2 linked regions of the Oreochromis niloticus genome follow. The protein of the gene in region 2 purifies or fractionates together with the protein of the main gene of each other region. This does not show direct contact. Links are inferred from orthologs where the notes say so. Each region holds a gene or a part of one and is shown on either strand. Other genes may lie near its edges.

Region 1 (7,482 bases), on a different chromosome or scaffold from region 2:
CCGACTTTCATGTACACTCCATCCATACTGAACTAGAAAGCAGTGTCAGATAAAGTACACTCCCTGGCATCTGCAGTTGCCTGTAAAACTCTGAGTAAGCAAGCTTAATAAATGCTGCCATTATACTTTTATCAATGCAATGCACTTTATTTTGCCAGGGTATTAACACATACTTGGAAAAGTGACATATTACATCAATCCTTGCTGACCTTTATTAAAATTCTGAGGTAGCCGATAAAGACTCGTCTCCAGACGATAGCTGGAACCAGCCAACTCCCCATGAGCTGCTGTTAGAGATCCTGGAAGGCTTACTTGTGTTTTCTTATTGCAGTAGTTGGCCTTTGTTGTCTGGATCCCTACGCCCAGTAACGCCATGGCTAGACATCTCAGGCAGGCAAACTGTGTGTCCTCTTTTAAAACTCTTGTTTTTGTTTTACCCTTGTTGACACAATTTGTTGTTTAGCTATTATTTTGTTATCATGTTTAGATCCCAAGGTTTGCATTTTAATTATACAGCTAGGTCTATACCTGACAGTACCTGACAGCGATCACATCCAGTTATTATTATTTCTTTTTTCTGAGCATCTGAAAATAGAAGACTATGGATAAAAATACCTGTAATCCCTAAACAACGAATTCAATATTTTTATTAAACTCCTTGAATTAAAACGTCACCTCTGCACTTCAAACACATCTCAACTGCTTAATTTTAATTTCAGTGTGTTGGTGGTGATTGTTCATAACAATATATATAATAAAATTCTAACAAAGTCACATTCCTTCTTGAGAGCCTCCCTAAAATGAACTGGCACACTATAAGAACAGCAAATAAAAACAAGCAAACAATGAAAATATTTTCTTTTAAAGAAAAAGCTTTAAAGCCTTTATACTCACATGGGCTTTGACTCTATCGTGCAAAAGGGACATAGGCAATTTGCTTTGTCTCATCACCACACGATATGGATCCTTCTTTACTGCCTCCATCTCCTCCTGGAATTTCTGGAGGGATGACTGCTTGATCACACGGGTATTTGCTTAAATATAGAGTATAGAAATATGGTATAGTCATATTATGACAAGGTATTGTAGTGAACATTTTTTTACAAATTCAACTGACAATATTTCAAACAAGAGCAACATATGAGCAAATGGTATTACCTCCAATTTAATTACATTTACAGTATACACTATAACATACACAACAGTAAAGACATTTTCTCACCAAACCATTTGATGTTAGGTTCAACTCTGGCAACAGTTCCCGGAGCTACTGTGGACTGGTACTGCAAAGGTTTGACGACTTTTCCACGGCTATTACTGTGGACAAAAGATCTCTTTAATTTCCTTAACACATCACTTACATTTCATTGTAACAGTAAACTAAATCAATAAAAAAAGTCTGCAAATTAAAGGTCAACAAGAAAAATAAAAATATTTGCTTACCATCTTTGTTTTTGTCTGTACATATTCAGGCGCTTGATAGTGGCTCGGTCCCTCATGTTGTTTCCACCAGCACCTTTGGCTCGATCTATCGAATAAATTGATGTTTACTTTAATGGCTCAATAACAAAATCCACATGCTATTACAATGCACTTACTGGTTAGTCCATTTATTACTAGGGAAACACAATATTTATAATCAACTAAGGCCTCTGATTTTTTTTAAAGGACCTTGCAACAACATTCATGTTTTATAACCATATTTTATTATATGGTTTTAAATGTGCTGAACAAATGACTGGGTTTCAGTGTAAGGTGCCGGTGTTGTGCCAAAAACTGATTGTCTGCCAAAAACTGATTTCCGGTATTTGCCAAAAACTGATTGCTCATATTTAAACTGCTATAAGTAACTTGTTGGGCTATAATATGTGAAACATATATCAAATGCATCCCTTATGGATGACATAAAGTCATCTTGAGCCACAAACAACATTCGTGTAACAAGGTAGAAGCCGCAATCAGTTTTTGGCAGTGACTTTTATATAACCTTTATTTATGCAGTTAAAAAAAATCTCATTAACATTAAAAATGTCTTTTGTAAGAGTAAGCTGGCCAAGAGGACAGAAGAAATGGCAGCAAATATTACAATATTTCAGTAAAAATATTTTAAGTGGGGATAAAGGACCGGATTGGTTATAATGTAAGTACAATAACACAGAGTTGTAAAGATACTTGAAAAACAGATAATTTTTTAATTCTATATATAACCCCTTTGTAAACCCTGTTCACCGAAGTCTATTTACGAAGATACGTAAAGATATTACACATAAAAATACACAGAAACATTGGAAATCAGTTTTTGGCAGGCAATCACTTTTTGGCACAACACCGGTATAGTGCTGTTAACAGCTTATACAAACACGTAAGTGCATAATTCCTATCAAGATATACTGCAATACTAGTTATCACTACTAACCAGACACACAGTACACGTTCATTTTTAAAGGAGCATAATTCTCCACCCCAAGATTGTAGCTGTTTCCAGATTTTACCGTAAATACGTTTAACTTTCATAAAACAGGTGTTTGACACGGCAAAACTCAAAAGGCTATATCTTCCTACAGTGTACACAACAGTGTAAGTTAAGTTTTAGATTCATCACACCGCTGTGAAGTCTTATTTTTATACGCAAAGCTATTATTATCTAAAATAACGCAAAAATGACTTTCTCTGACAATGACTAGCAACAATTAGCATTAGCTGTAAACAAGCAGTTTGGCTAATGGGAGAGTTAGCTCACCGGGGTTGCTGCTGGATGTCGAGGGGTTTATTGAGCTTTTCCCCTTGTACCGTGTCTTCACCATGTTGCCCTCTTAGTCGGTAAAGCCTTCCACAGAAAAAAAAATACGAAGGTGTCTGAACGCTGATGTTTTACTGTCGTTATTCCCCTCAGCTCGAAAATGTACACCCTACACGTGTTCTTAGGGTGAACAGGAAGGACATCATCAATAGAGCGACGGAGGGGAGAACCAATCAGAAAGCTCCTGCGTGCGTACTTAGGCTGTCGGTAAAGCCTCGAGTATACTTAAAGGGAAATTATGGTTCTGCGGCGGTAACGCGTTGTCAGTCCGTGGACAGCTACTAACTGTCTACCTCCAGAGGGCGTCTGTTGTCAGATGAGGCTCTCAAAACTATCAAAACTATATACCATCTGTAGATCATGTGCTGATGTTGAGAACAGAGAACTACTAACCATTTTCAGTAGTACAGTAATGTAATACATTGAAGTTTCTCAAGTTATCTGCAGGCTGGGTGGATAGAAAGAAAAAAGCCCCACGCTTTTTTTTTTCTTTTTGCGCTCCTGTGCTACAATCAACTGATTTCAGTTCCCAGAGGAGGAAAAACGGCAGTGAGACCTGCAGAGAGACATTTAGATATTACTTTTATGTTTACTGCACAAAAGGACAAGAGCGCAATGGTAAAGCGCAAACTGCATCCAGGGCAGAAGCAGCCGCATTTAGCGGGTTTTAACGTAGTTTGTTGGGAGAGTGCAGGTGTTCGACCGCCCAGTGTTGATTGGTTGAGAAGCGCACGACACCGGAATAGAGCCATAATAGCGAGAACCACAAAAAAGAAAAAAAAGAAAGAAAAATCTTCAAAGATCAAAAATTAAATCATGAAAAACACAGATAGTGGTTGCAGGGACAGTGGCCCATAGACTGGTCACATACTTTGTACACTGCCTCCATCTGACAACAGAGCTCACTGCATACAGACGGAGAGCGGACAGCGAATGCACTCTCTCTGCTCAACCATAAATTCTGCCTTATATTACTAGAAAAACTTAAGCTCTTTGCAAGAATCTGCACAGACGGCATGCTACAAAAAGCTAGCAAGGATCCCAGAGTGATGACAAAGCTGAGTAATGGAGACCACAGTAGCCAGACCTTTAACTTCTAACAGGTAACGTAGGTTTTCTCTAGGGCAGGACATGCAGCCAGACCCTGAACTTCAACAGGTAACAAATGGATGAACAGTCAGGCTGCGGCCTCTGTTCATCCATCCACCTGTTCATGTTTGTAAAGTAGAATCACTTTAAGGTTTTTAAGATCTCTTTGTCCTGGTTTTCATCTTTGCTTTGTGCTGTCAGCATTGGGTTCATACCTTAATACTAAGAGAAAGACCGTATGTGTGTCCTCATTGGAATAGGGATTTTCATTGGTGTGTGGGACTTTAGCCTATAGGTTAATATTGTTCAGTGGTAATTATGAGACAATGAGTTCCAGGTCATTTTATGGAGAAACGCAAAAATGATGTAACAAGTAGTGTAGTATGTGTAATAATTACTTTTTTGAGTAATGGCCCCAACACCAATCACAACAAAAAGGGGAAATACCTCCAACGTGTGCAAACATTTGATCACACAACACATAATTAATTTGCACGAATGTGATGTCTTTTATATGCTGGTTAGCATTGGTGAAGACTCTCAAAATGGAACCAATGAGAACCAAATGAGAATCAATAAGATGATCGATAAGCGATCACATCAATAATGTCATCCGAATCGCTAAATTCTTTCAATTCGCATCCCTACTGAGGTGTTACGTAAACACTTCATTAGCAGTTTTTGTGGCTTGAAAGTGCTAAACCTATTACAATGAAAATATAATATGATGTTAAAATTATTCATGGATAGTAATGAAGTAATGAAGTTGATAGTGAAGTTTCAGACTGGCTGAAAACTATATGCCTGATGTCTACTCATGTTAATGCTATGTTGCTATGCCCCATTTAATCCAGAAGAGGGTGCAATGCAATTTGCATTAGGACATTGTCACATGCCCTATCTATGGCCACATGCCAAGTAGCCCTTTAAGTGACTACTGTCTGCAACGTAAAATGACTAATAAGGCTCAAACCATGTATCAGTAGTCAGGCGTTTAAGCGCACCAAGGTCCAACTTTACATAATTCTTTTTGTTTTTCATTTTTATTACATCCATATCTTATTAGTTCAATTAAATGTAAAATCAGGTATTTTCTGTATTTTTCTTTTTACTTTTTTCATGAAGATCAAAATGTTGATTCAAAGCTTTCTTTACACTTCAAGAAATTCAATTCTAGTAGGCTAAATTTTTCATACTTTGTGACCAGAGAAACTTACCTCAGTGGTGGCTATGGACCTACTTGTGAAGTGCAAATATAGTCAGATATCAAATACACACACATGCACACCCGCACACCACACAAATTTTAATAATGTTCCATATCAATTTCAAATGGATCTGGAAGCAATGTGCATGACAAAAAAAAATAAATACCAGAACGCTGGACTTTTTTTTTACCTGCAGCAAACAGAACTGATGCCAGCTTTCGCAAGAACTGTTTGATACTAGCATGTATGAAGGGCAAGTTTTACGTGGTTGTGATGATGGTGCCTTCACAGTGTTTATGGTACGTTACACAAGTGTGGCTCAGTTCCAAGGTAGGGTATTTCATAGAGACTTTGGTCTGGAGAGGCGCCATTCAGTATTCAGTTTATACAGCCGGGAGACTGAGGAATGTTCTCTGTTCATTTTCATACACATGAAATTGGAACTGACTGAATGCTATAAATGATTTTTGGAAATTGGAATTTTCTTTCTTCTTTAAGTTTAAAATCTAAGCAAAAAATTTAAGGACAAAATAATCTTCTCCTTCTTACAGAGTTTCTTCAAACAGGGAAGAACCGATATGGCCAAACTCTTCATTTAAAGTCTGGTTAATTTAAATTCCAGCTGTTGCAGTTACAGACAGATATTTTGTCTGTAACTGCAGATGTCTTAAACATTTTGGTCTTTTGACTAAATATAACTTTTTATTTTCCAAACCTTTCAAAGCGTAAAGTGGTATGAAAGGCACTGTGTTAAAATATAAGACCATTTCTGCGTGTATGATAACGGTCTCTTTGCCTTTCTCTGCACCTGGTGCTCCTTTATAAATGTGAACCAGTAAGCGCATCATAGTATGGGTGCTGTCACCCTAAAGAAAGATAACTTATCTAATAAAAAGAATCTTGCTAGTGCAAGTTTACTGCATTCAGTCATCTGTCATAAGAATGATTGTGGGATATATTCTGTCTTTCTGTCCTCAGAATGACTGTAGGTTATATTCAGTCTGTCCTCACATTCGTCTACAGTGGCTGAAATCTTTATTGCTACATTTTATTGCTGCTAAACTAAGTTGGCTGAACTTGCTAACTTCTTTGTGTTATTTGCATGAAAAGTTTTGGTTAGGCACAACCAGCGCAAAGAATTGATTGGAAAAACATTATTCAGAATTTGCATTCAACCAGAAAAGCACTGACCATCCATTTACCATATATGATAGATGGACCACAATTTATGAGCAGCAGGAAAATCCACAGGCTTGGAAGGCTTACAAGCAATTTTAAACCAATAAACCTCCTGACAGGGTACATGTGCAGCTTAAAACAGAAAAAAAAATTGCTTGCCAGAAAGTAGAACATCCAGTAATTTTATTAACATTATATCAGCCACTTATTACTTCTTTACCACCTATGTTTATTACATTAACAGTTAGTTCCTTTGTTCTTTTCTTATGCAGACACAAAATACATAAAAGTAGCTCTAAACAACTTACTTAAGGGATTCTGATTCAGAAAGACGTTTATATTACAGCACACACACATTTTTATAGACCCATAAAAAATAAGAAATGTTGAAATGATGGCGTGAGTATCTGGAGTGAGAACACTTGACACATGATGCGAAAATTTCTCTTATGTGACGCCACTTCTTGATCTTCTTGCTGTGTTTCGTGACAGAGACGGTTTGCCTATTACATTGTAAAGATATTGAGAGCCAACTGTTAAAGTCACAGCATTCGTCTTTAAGGCAGATATTTAATCAGCTCATCAATCTCTGCAGTTTCTAACCAAGAACAATGGAGTCATGGGGAGTGGGGAGATGGGCATCAGCAGATAGCATTAGAGCACCTGTGTTTAATAAGGTTAGGACCGAACTTTGCACAGAAGGATATCTCAGTCCCAGCATGTGTTTTACAGATTTGATATTTTCAGCTAAAAAGATTCATTTCACAAAAAAGTAAATGATGAGATGTCCACTGAAAAAAATGACACATCCTTTCAAAGTGATTAATTGTGCAAAAAGCATCAAAAGAAGAGGAGATGATTTTAGTCCAAAACAGAGAATAGACCTGAGTAACAGCTGCCTGAATCTTTTTTGATTTATCAAATGATTTTCCTTATAAACACACACATTACTCCTAAGAATATGTTGCTTTGATCATGTGCAGTTTAAATAAAAGCATACTAGTAAAAAAAGTTACATAAGAATTAGGAGCAGAGAATAAAATGCAAAAAGACCCCCCCCAGAAAGCAGTAAACTTTGTTTTAAAGTGATGTTTTTGTTGGAAAACTGTGAAAAACTAACAAGCTCACAACAGTAACAAATTTACAGGTACTTGTAAATCAGTGCCACCCAAAAACTACCAGGCTGTTTTATCATAAACAGTACAA
Region 2 (6,848 bases):
TTCAAAAGAAATCATCTGTTAACGAGAGTTGGAAAGACACATGGGCTGATAAATGCTGCCACCTACTGACATTAATTCAAAAGTGCACAACACTGAGACTTGTTTACATTGCAGACTGGTGAAAATCAGTGACACAGATGCACAATTCATGATTTAGAAACAAATTGGATTCTCTTACTTTTTCTAACATCCATCACAACACTCTGTGGAAGGCATTTTCTACATGAACGTGATTAACCTTAGACAGAAAGCTGGACTCTGGTGTGAGACATACCTTTAGGGTGGAGCCTTTGGGGCCAATGAGCCGCTGCCTTCGCTTCACAAACCGTTCTCTACTCCTCACCATAGTGCCAATTTTGATGATGTCACAGGCAGTGTCATCCTGTAATATTCTTACAGCCTGGCGGCAACAACACATCACTGAGGTAAAATGGTATCAAAAAGTCTGCATCACTCTGAGTGCTTAGTGACAGCAATCACACACATACTCGAAAACAATAAAGGATGAAATCTACATGTTGTGCATGCTGCAAACTGGCACAGTAGTGTTACCTGTTCAAATGGCACACTCCTTGCCAGCAGCTTAATAAGATCTCTGGCTCTCACAATGGCATAAGGGTCAAAGGTCTTCTTAGTGGTGCAGACTGTCATGCTGCCTTCTATTAGGTCCAAAGAAGGTTTAATGTGCTGAGAACAACAACAAATGATTCAGTATGTGAACAGCTCAGGTCTGCAATTCAGCCTCGTATAGCTGCCAATGTAAGAGCCAAGTTGACACTTAACTGGAAAAAAATGTTATATAGGAGAAAAGTAAAACCAAAATAACGTGAGACATCTTTATAACTGGGGATGTGGCCATGTTCAAAATGAATTAAAAAATACAGTTCAGCTGTAGGACTTTCTGACACTGTGGACCATGGCTTTTGCTGAAAGTGGCTTTTAACAGGTTTCTTCCTGTTAAAAGGGAGTTTTTCCTTCCCACTGTCGCCAAAGTGCTTGCTCATAGGGGGTCATATGATTGTTGGATTTTTCTCTGTATTTATTATTGTGCTATCTACTGTACAATATAAAGCGCCTTGAGGCGACTTTTGTTGTGATTTGGCGCTATATAAATAAAATTGAATTGAATTGAATTGAATTGAAGATACAAAGAGCTTACAAAGCATCAAAGAAATCTCACTGTTTAAAAGGTGTCGTGGGCACCTTTAAACAGTGACACATCTCCACAATTTCCAAGGCATTAAACATTGCGTGGAACAGAATGAAGACAGCCATCGAAGAGGGAAGAAACCATGGCAAAACAGGGACATTACTAAAACACTAATGGGGAAAAAAGCTTTAAAAAACTGATCCAGTTGGCTTCCAAGATCACTGCAGAAATAGTAAAAGGAGCTCCATATACTTCACCAGTATTGATTGTGTACTATGTGTCATGACTATCTCTGTATTCTTCATATGCCTGGGCTATGTGGTAAAGTGTGTTACACTGCTGAGAATGGGTAAGGAAGTACAACAGATAAATTAAAAGGGAATCACTGCCCCAGTCTGTCCAAACCAGAGTCTAAGCAGTAATCTATGAACAGCCCCAAAATAACAGTCTGCTTTTGCACAAAACCTGTATGCACCTGGCAGAAGGCAGGTGGGGAGGAATTTCCCATTTCAGTACACTTATCCAAAACATATCTCCAAATAAAAAAATAAAAAAAATCACCTCCAATAGAAAGATATTGTTTGGGAAAAGCCCAGAGCCCAGATATGATTTAACTGAATAACTATGGGGACGACTAGAGAGATGACAATATAACGAAGGTATATCAACAACGACAAGCTTTCTTTGCAATTAGATGATTAAAATGTAGAACCAAAAATTTGTATTGCACTTATAATATGGCGTAAATAACAGATTCAGAGAAAACATGGTAGCCTGCTCCTGAGAGGTTGTGTGGTCAGCATATGTTATTGTAGCGATTTGGCCGGGTAAAAGAAGAGGTACTTTTGTAATAGATTTCAGTGTTTTTCCATTTGAATTTTACAGGTGATAGGTCACATTAAACTATTATAATCCTGAAATAATTTCTCCTGGAATCTTTTTTACATTGCAAAAACTGTTAAAAGGGGAGTACCGACTTTATATCAACTATATGTATACATTAATACAAGATAGCATACAACCTGATGAGACTAAAGAAAGTGGTTAAAAAAAAATTGTTAACTTTCTTCATAGAGCTACTATTTGAGATACAGCTGACAGGCAAGCATTATCATCTGCGTTCAGTGTAAGCAGCTTATTCTGACTCACCACCTCTCCTAAAGCCTTCTCCACCAGAGGCCAGCACTCTTTCAAGTAGGCCTCCCTGTACTTGGGGAAGAGGGTGGCAAAGCTACTCTCCTCCAGCAAACCGCGGGGGTTATCCTCTTTGGTGAACGGTGGCTCTTTCCATCCATCGGGAACTGTCAGGAGTTCGGATTCATCCACTGTAGGACGCACGTGAAGTCACGTTACTACAGCTCATTACAACTGAGGCATAGACTGCCAACACGAGGTATACTTAAGCAAAGTGAATAGAGTATGAGTTTGAGACAGAATATTGAAAAGATATACTGAAGGAAGGTGGAGAACGGTCCACTGACCAAAATAATAAAAGTTTGAAATTCTCATCATCGATGTGTTCCCCTGGATGAGGCGACTCAGTCTGCAGACTTTGGAAACGTGTCTGAATCCAGGCAGGGTTATAGCTAGCTGCCCGGCGTCAGGAAACAGTTGTCAGTTTAAGTATGTGAAAAGTAAATGTTCGGGTTATTCTTCTTGATGCGACCCTTTAACACAGCGAGTAAGGGTAACTACACTCACCAAACCAATCTGTTTACAATGCGAGAGCCGCCATGCTAGCAGAACGGTAAGTCCCGCATGCCTCGCAGCTGCCGTGTAAAGCTGGGAAACAATACTCTTCTTCACGGGGGAAGGGTCGCTGCTGTCACTTAACCTCATCTGACGCGAAAGAATCAAACTCACCTTGGTTTTTAATCTTTTTCGATTGTTTCCCCGTTTGCTCCTCACTCACGCCGTCACTGGCTGTGGAGGACGCCATTGCTGAGAAGAAACGGAAGTGACGTACAATACTCTTCCTGGTGCAACCTGGTGTCTACTAAAATAAAAATAAAAATAAAAGCTTTCTAACATCTCACCTGTTTGTTTTTATTCAGGCAAACATGTATACCATTTTTATTAATAGAGCTTGTGTTTCCGTCATGTAGTGATTGTGCTTAACTGTATGAAGCTTATTGTGTGAATGCTGTAGGCATCCCTACAGTTAGGAAAATATGGCCATTTGTTCAAGGGGAATCCACAAAACCAGAAATACACTGCAGATTGAGGAGCTCCAGGCTGTTTGACTGACATAATATTTGTTCTAAAACATAGTAATTCTGCCAAATCATGGTATTTCTGCTACTTTATGGTATTTGTGCTAAACACAGTATTTCTGCTAAATCATAGTATTTCTGCTAAATTATAGTATTTCTGCTCAGTTATTGTGTTTCTCTTAAGTCACAAAATTTTTGCTAAGATGTTATGTTAATGTTCCATGTCAGAAATACATTGCAGACAGCCTCTGTCTGTGTCTGTGTGAGCTAGGGGTGCAGCTGTACTGACAGGAAAAAGGTAGATTGAAATTGAGCAGTTCCAGGCTGTTTGACTGGCATAGATACACACAGGCCACACTCTTAATAGCCCCTGTTCACTCCATGCTCTGTGTCCTAAATTAAATGTAAAAACATACACACACTCTGACACACAGATGCAAATATAAACGCACAGATAAATTCCTCGCATGCGTCTTCAGCATTACTGGGTTTCTGCAGCTCCTGGTTTTTGTGTTTAATACATTCCAGCACACAAGCAATTAAACACTATGAATTGTTCCACAATATTTGCAGTCACTTTATAATGGGTAAGTTGTGAAAAGGCAGTCACTGATCATCACTATAACATTTTGACAATAAATTGTATTTGAATAAAATTATTTCCTGTAGCCTAAATATGTCTCTGTACCTGAATAGAACTAAAGATTTTTCTCATAGGGTTAATAACATGTCTACCAACTATTTCATGTCCAAATTACTGCTGAGAGTTACTCCAAAAACTTCCTTTAGTGGCTGTTCATCAGAATATTTATTTATTTTTTGACATGAAAATCAGTAACTGTTTGTTTTTAACACCTAAAATTCAATGTGATGCTATTATCCTGCCAAACAACATAAAAGTCTCCAAAAAGGTTAAGTATGGAACATATTATAAATGGAAAATCTTATATTGCACTCTAAGCACAATAAATGTGGCAGGAAAGATCAGTGCTCTGTTGCAGTATGCAGAGTACACTTGTACATTTTTCACAGTACCAAAAACACATTGGCTTTGCAGACTGATGATCAAACACAGAGATAGAGGTTGCAGAAAAATTACAAATACCTGAACGTTGCTGTCTTATGTCATGCAGTCACCTAAAGGTAGTAAGTTTGACCTTCGGAGGGTCATCATGACTAGGTCATGCATGCTGATTTCCAGTCATGTGACTGGCTGATTAGATATTTGTCTTAATGAGCAGTTGAGCAGGTGTACCTAAGTTACCCGAGATTAGTCATTAGGCCTTTTAAAAAGTATTACTGCCCTTTGTGCATTAATATTTCTAGTAACACTACTTTAACTGCAGTGAGCACGTGAGACATCCCTTTTTATGGAAAAGGAAGGAAAAGTCATATTTATTATTTTTCACATATTACACAGACTGTTTGGGCTGACCGAACAGGCTCAGACTGAAGCAGTGCAGTTCCTGGCATATTTTCAAGTATCATTAAAGTTATCACGTGTATAAATCTCACCATTAGATGTCAGTAGATTGCAGATTGCAGTCAATGCAGTCGCTTTTCTTATCCCTCCTAATTCAAGTGCATAAACTGATCTACGTTAGCTCTGGTAATTCTGACGATCGTTCAATAAATCTTTGTTTAATCTCCAAAAGTTGAATCTGTTCATCTGGACGTAGCGTTTTGTGGGAGAAACGTTTCGTCACTCATCCAAGTGACTTCTTCAGCTACGCTACGTCCAGATGAACAGATTCAACTTTTGGAGATTTACTTTCCTGGATGATTGAGAATGCATCAAGACCTTTGCTTAATCTCTTTATTTGCTTTTTGGAGAAGTGAAGTTACAAAAACTTCTTCAATCAAATTTGCTTTGGTGGACAGAAAACAACCGTTGACTGTTTGGGGTTACCTTTTATAAGTACTGAATTTTCAAAAGTGAAGTCAGTTCTTCTGACCAGGTTCAGACCAGGATAAACAAAAGTATAATATTGAACCTGAAGTATGATCCTCCCACCCACTAAGGGAACCGCTCCCAGCTGTGGGTTCACCTCCTCCTGCTGAACTCAGAGCAGCAACCAGTCCAGAGAGAGACTCTAACGTAGCATCACTTTCATGGTTCACTCCTGAACTCCTGTGAAGCATGACGAATGTGGCCTCTCTAAATATCAGTAACTAAGAAAACATGTCAGTAGGCATCCTAGTAATTAATGACTTCATTATTTGGGGTATTATTGTTATAAAAAATAATAATAATAGTATTATTATTATTATTGTGCTTCGGGCTTTAGGCTGTACTGATAACGCAGAGGTCTCTTCCTCTGGGCTGTTTAAAGGGCCAGTTTATCCAAATGACCAAAGCTGTGTATATACCAGCTGCTGTCAGGCTTCAAATGTTTGCATTGGTCCCCTCCACAGTCCACTGTTTTGTAAGCCATTGCTTTACTGCATAAGTTCCCATCTACTGTAACAAAATGGAGATAAGCAGGCACATAAAGGCATGCTGTAGGTTGACTTTGTCTTTTCTGATTCGTCGGTTTGTGTGGCTCTTTTCACAGGAGTGACCTAACCCACACTTTATTTACTTATATGATAAATGAAGTTGTAATGTGGTGCAAAATACACAGTGTTTTCTTTTAATTTAATAACATGAAGCTGCATCAAGTTTCCATGGTGACTGTTCAAGAAATTCTGCATTCATAAACAAACATCAGACTGTCAAAGGAGCTCATCTGTGTGACAAGACCACCGAGTGGAGAGCATTTTCAGGTCGAGATCCCACCGTACGCCATCATTGGAGAGCATTTAAAAGGTTTTCTTCCCGACTGTGATTTGACAACGTCTAAATGGAATCAAGTCAAGGAATCTATAAACCTATCAGGGTATGTGACCGTTTTTGTTTTTAATGCATTTCAAGAATTTGAAGAATTTGATGTAGTTTTAAAAGTTGACAAACTGAGAATCATTTTAAGTAACAATGACTAAATTGCTATTTCTTTGACAGGTGTTGTTCAACACACCGATTTATGAAACAGCTGTAAAGATCTGCTGGCATCTTCCGGGCTACAGGACTCAGGTTAGACCCAGATTCATGCAAACCAAAGCTGACAGAAAATATCAGGTAATTTCTGAGGACCTGAGCGTGGTGGTGATTAAATGTCTCCTTTTACTTTTAGATTGCAATTATGACGGAGTTTCTCAGACTTCAGCAGGAAGATCTAATTCCACCTAACCTCACTGCTGAAGATCTGAGAGATCTTTTGGTGGAGAAGAGCAGGGAGACACTCAGAGAGCAGTGAGTTACTGTCACACTGAAAGTCTGTTTGTGATGACGTGTAAATGCTGAGAGAAAACCTCTGCTTTGCTTTCTTTTGAAGGCTGTGGGAGTTTAAATTGGAGGATTTTGAAGAAGAGGAAGCCAAACCTCTTCTAAGGCTGGTAAGACTAGAAAACTCACAAGACTTGTAGTAATTTGGAAATTTCTTCTT

Evidence for each region. The genes of interacting proteins can lie anywhere in the genome.
Region 1: the proteins of krr1 (region 2) and gnl2 purify together in Homo sapiens (affinity purification with mass spectrometry; 3 studies listed by BioGRID and IntAct, with this or other methods). This does not show direct contact. The link is inferred for Oreochromis niloticus from reciprocal best matches to the Homo sapiens genes KRR1 and GNL2.

What each region holds. Positions count from the first base shown.
Region 1 is NC_031976.2:27,058,759-27,066,240, forward strand, and holds the start of gnl2 (nucleolar GTP-binding protein 2), read right to left. Parts: upstream 3,006-7,482; 5' UTR 2,805-3,005; coding exon 2,741-2,804; intron 1,529-2,740; coding exon 1,444-1,528; intron 1,318-1,443; coding exon 1,223-1,317; intron 1,035-1,222; coding exon 895-1,034; intron 1-894. UniProt on the Homo sapiens protein: GTPase that associates with pre-60S ribosomal subunits in the nucleolus and is required for their nuclear export and maturation.
Region 2 is NC_031981.2:36,711,808-36,718,655, reverse strand, and holds the start of krr1 (KRR1 small subunit processome component homolog), read right to left. Parts: upstream 3,008-6,848; 5' UTR 2,990-3,007; coding exon 2,852-2,989; intron 2,741-2,851; coding exon 2,632-2,740; intron 2,476-2,631; coding exon 2,300-2,475; intron 688-2,299; coding exon 553-687; intron 401-552; coding exon 275-400; intron 1-274. Other genes in the region: uncharacterized protein LOC102080708, read left to right, coding at 6,207-6,242, 6,365-6,436, 6,537-6,655, 6,738-6,798. UniProt on the Homo sapiens protein: Part of the small subunit (SSU) processome, first precursor of the small eukaryotic ribosomal subunit.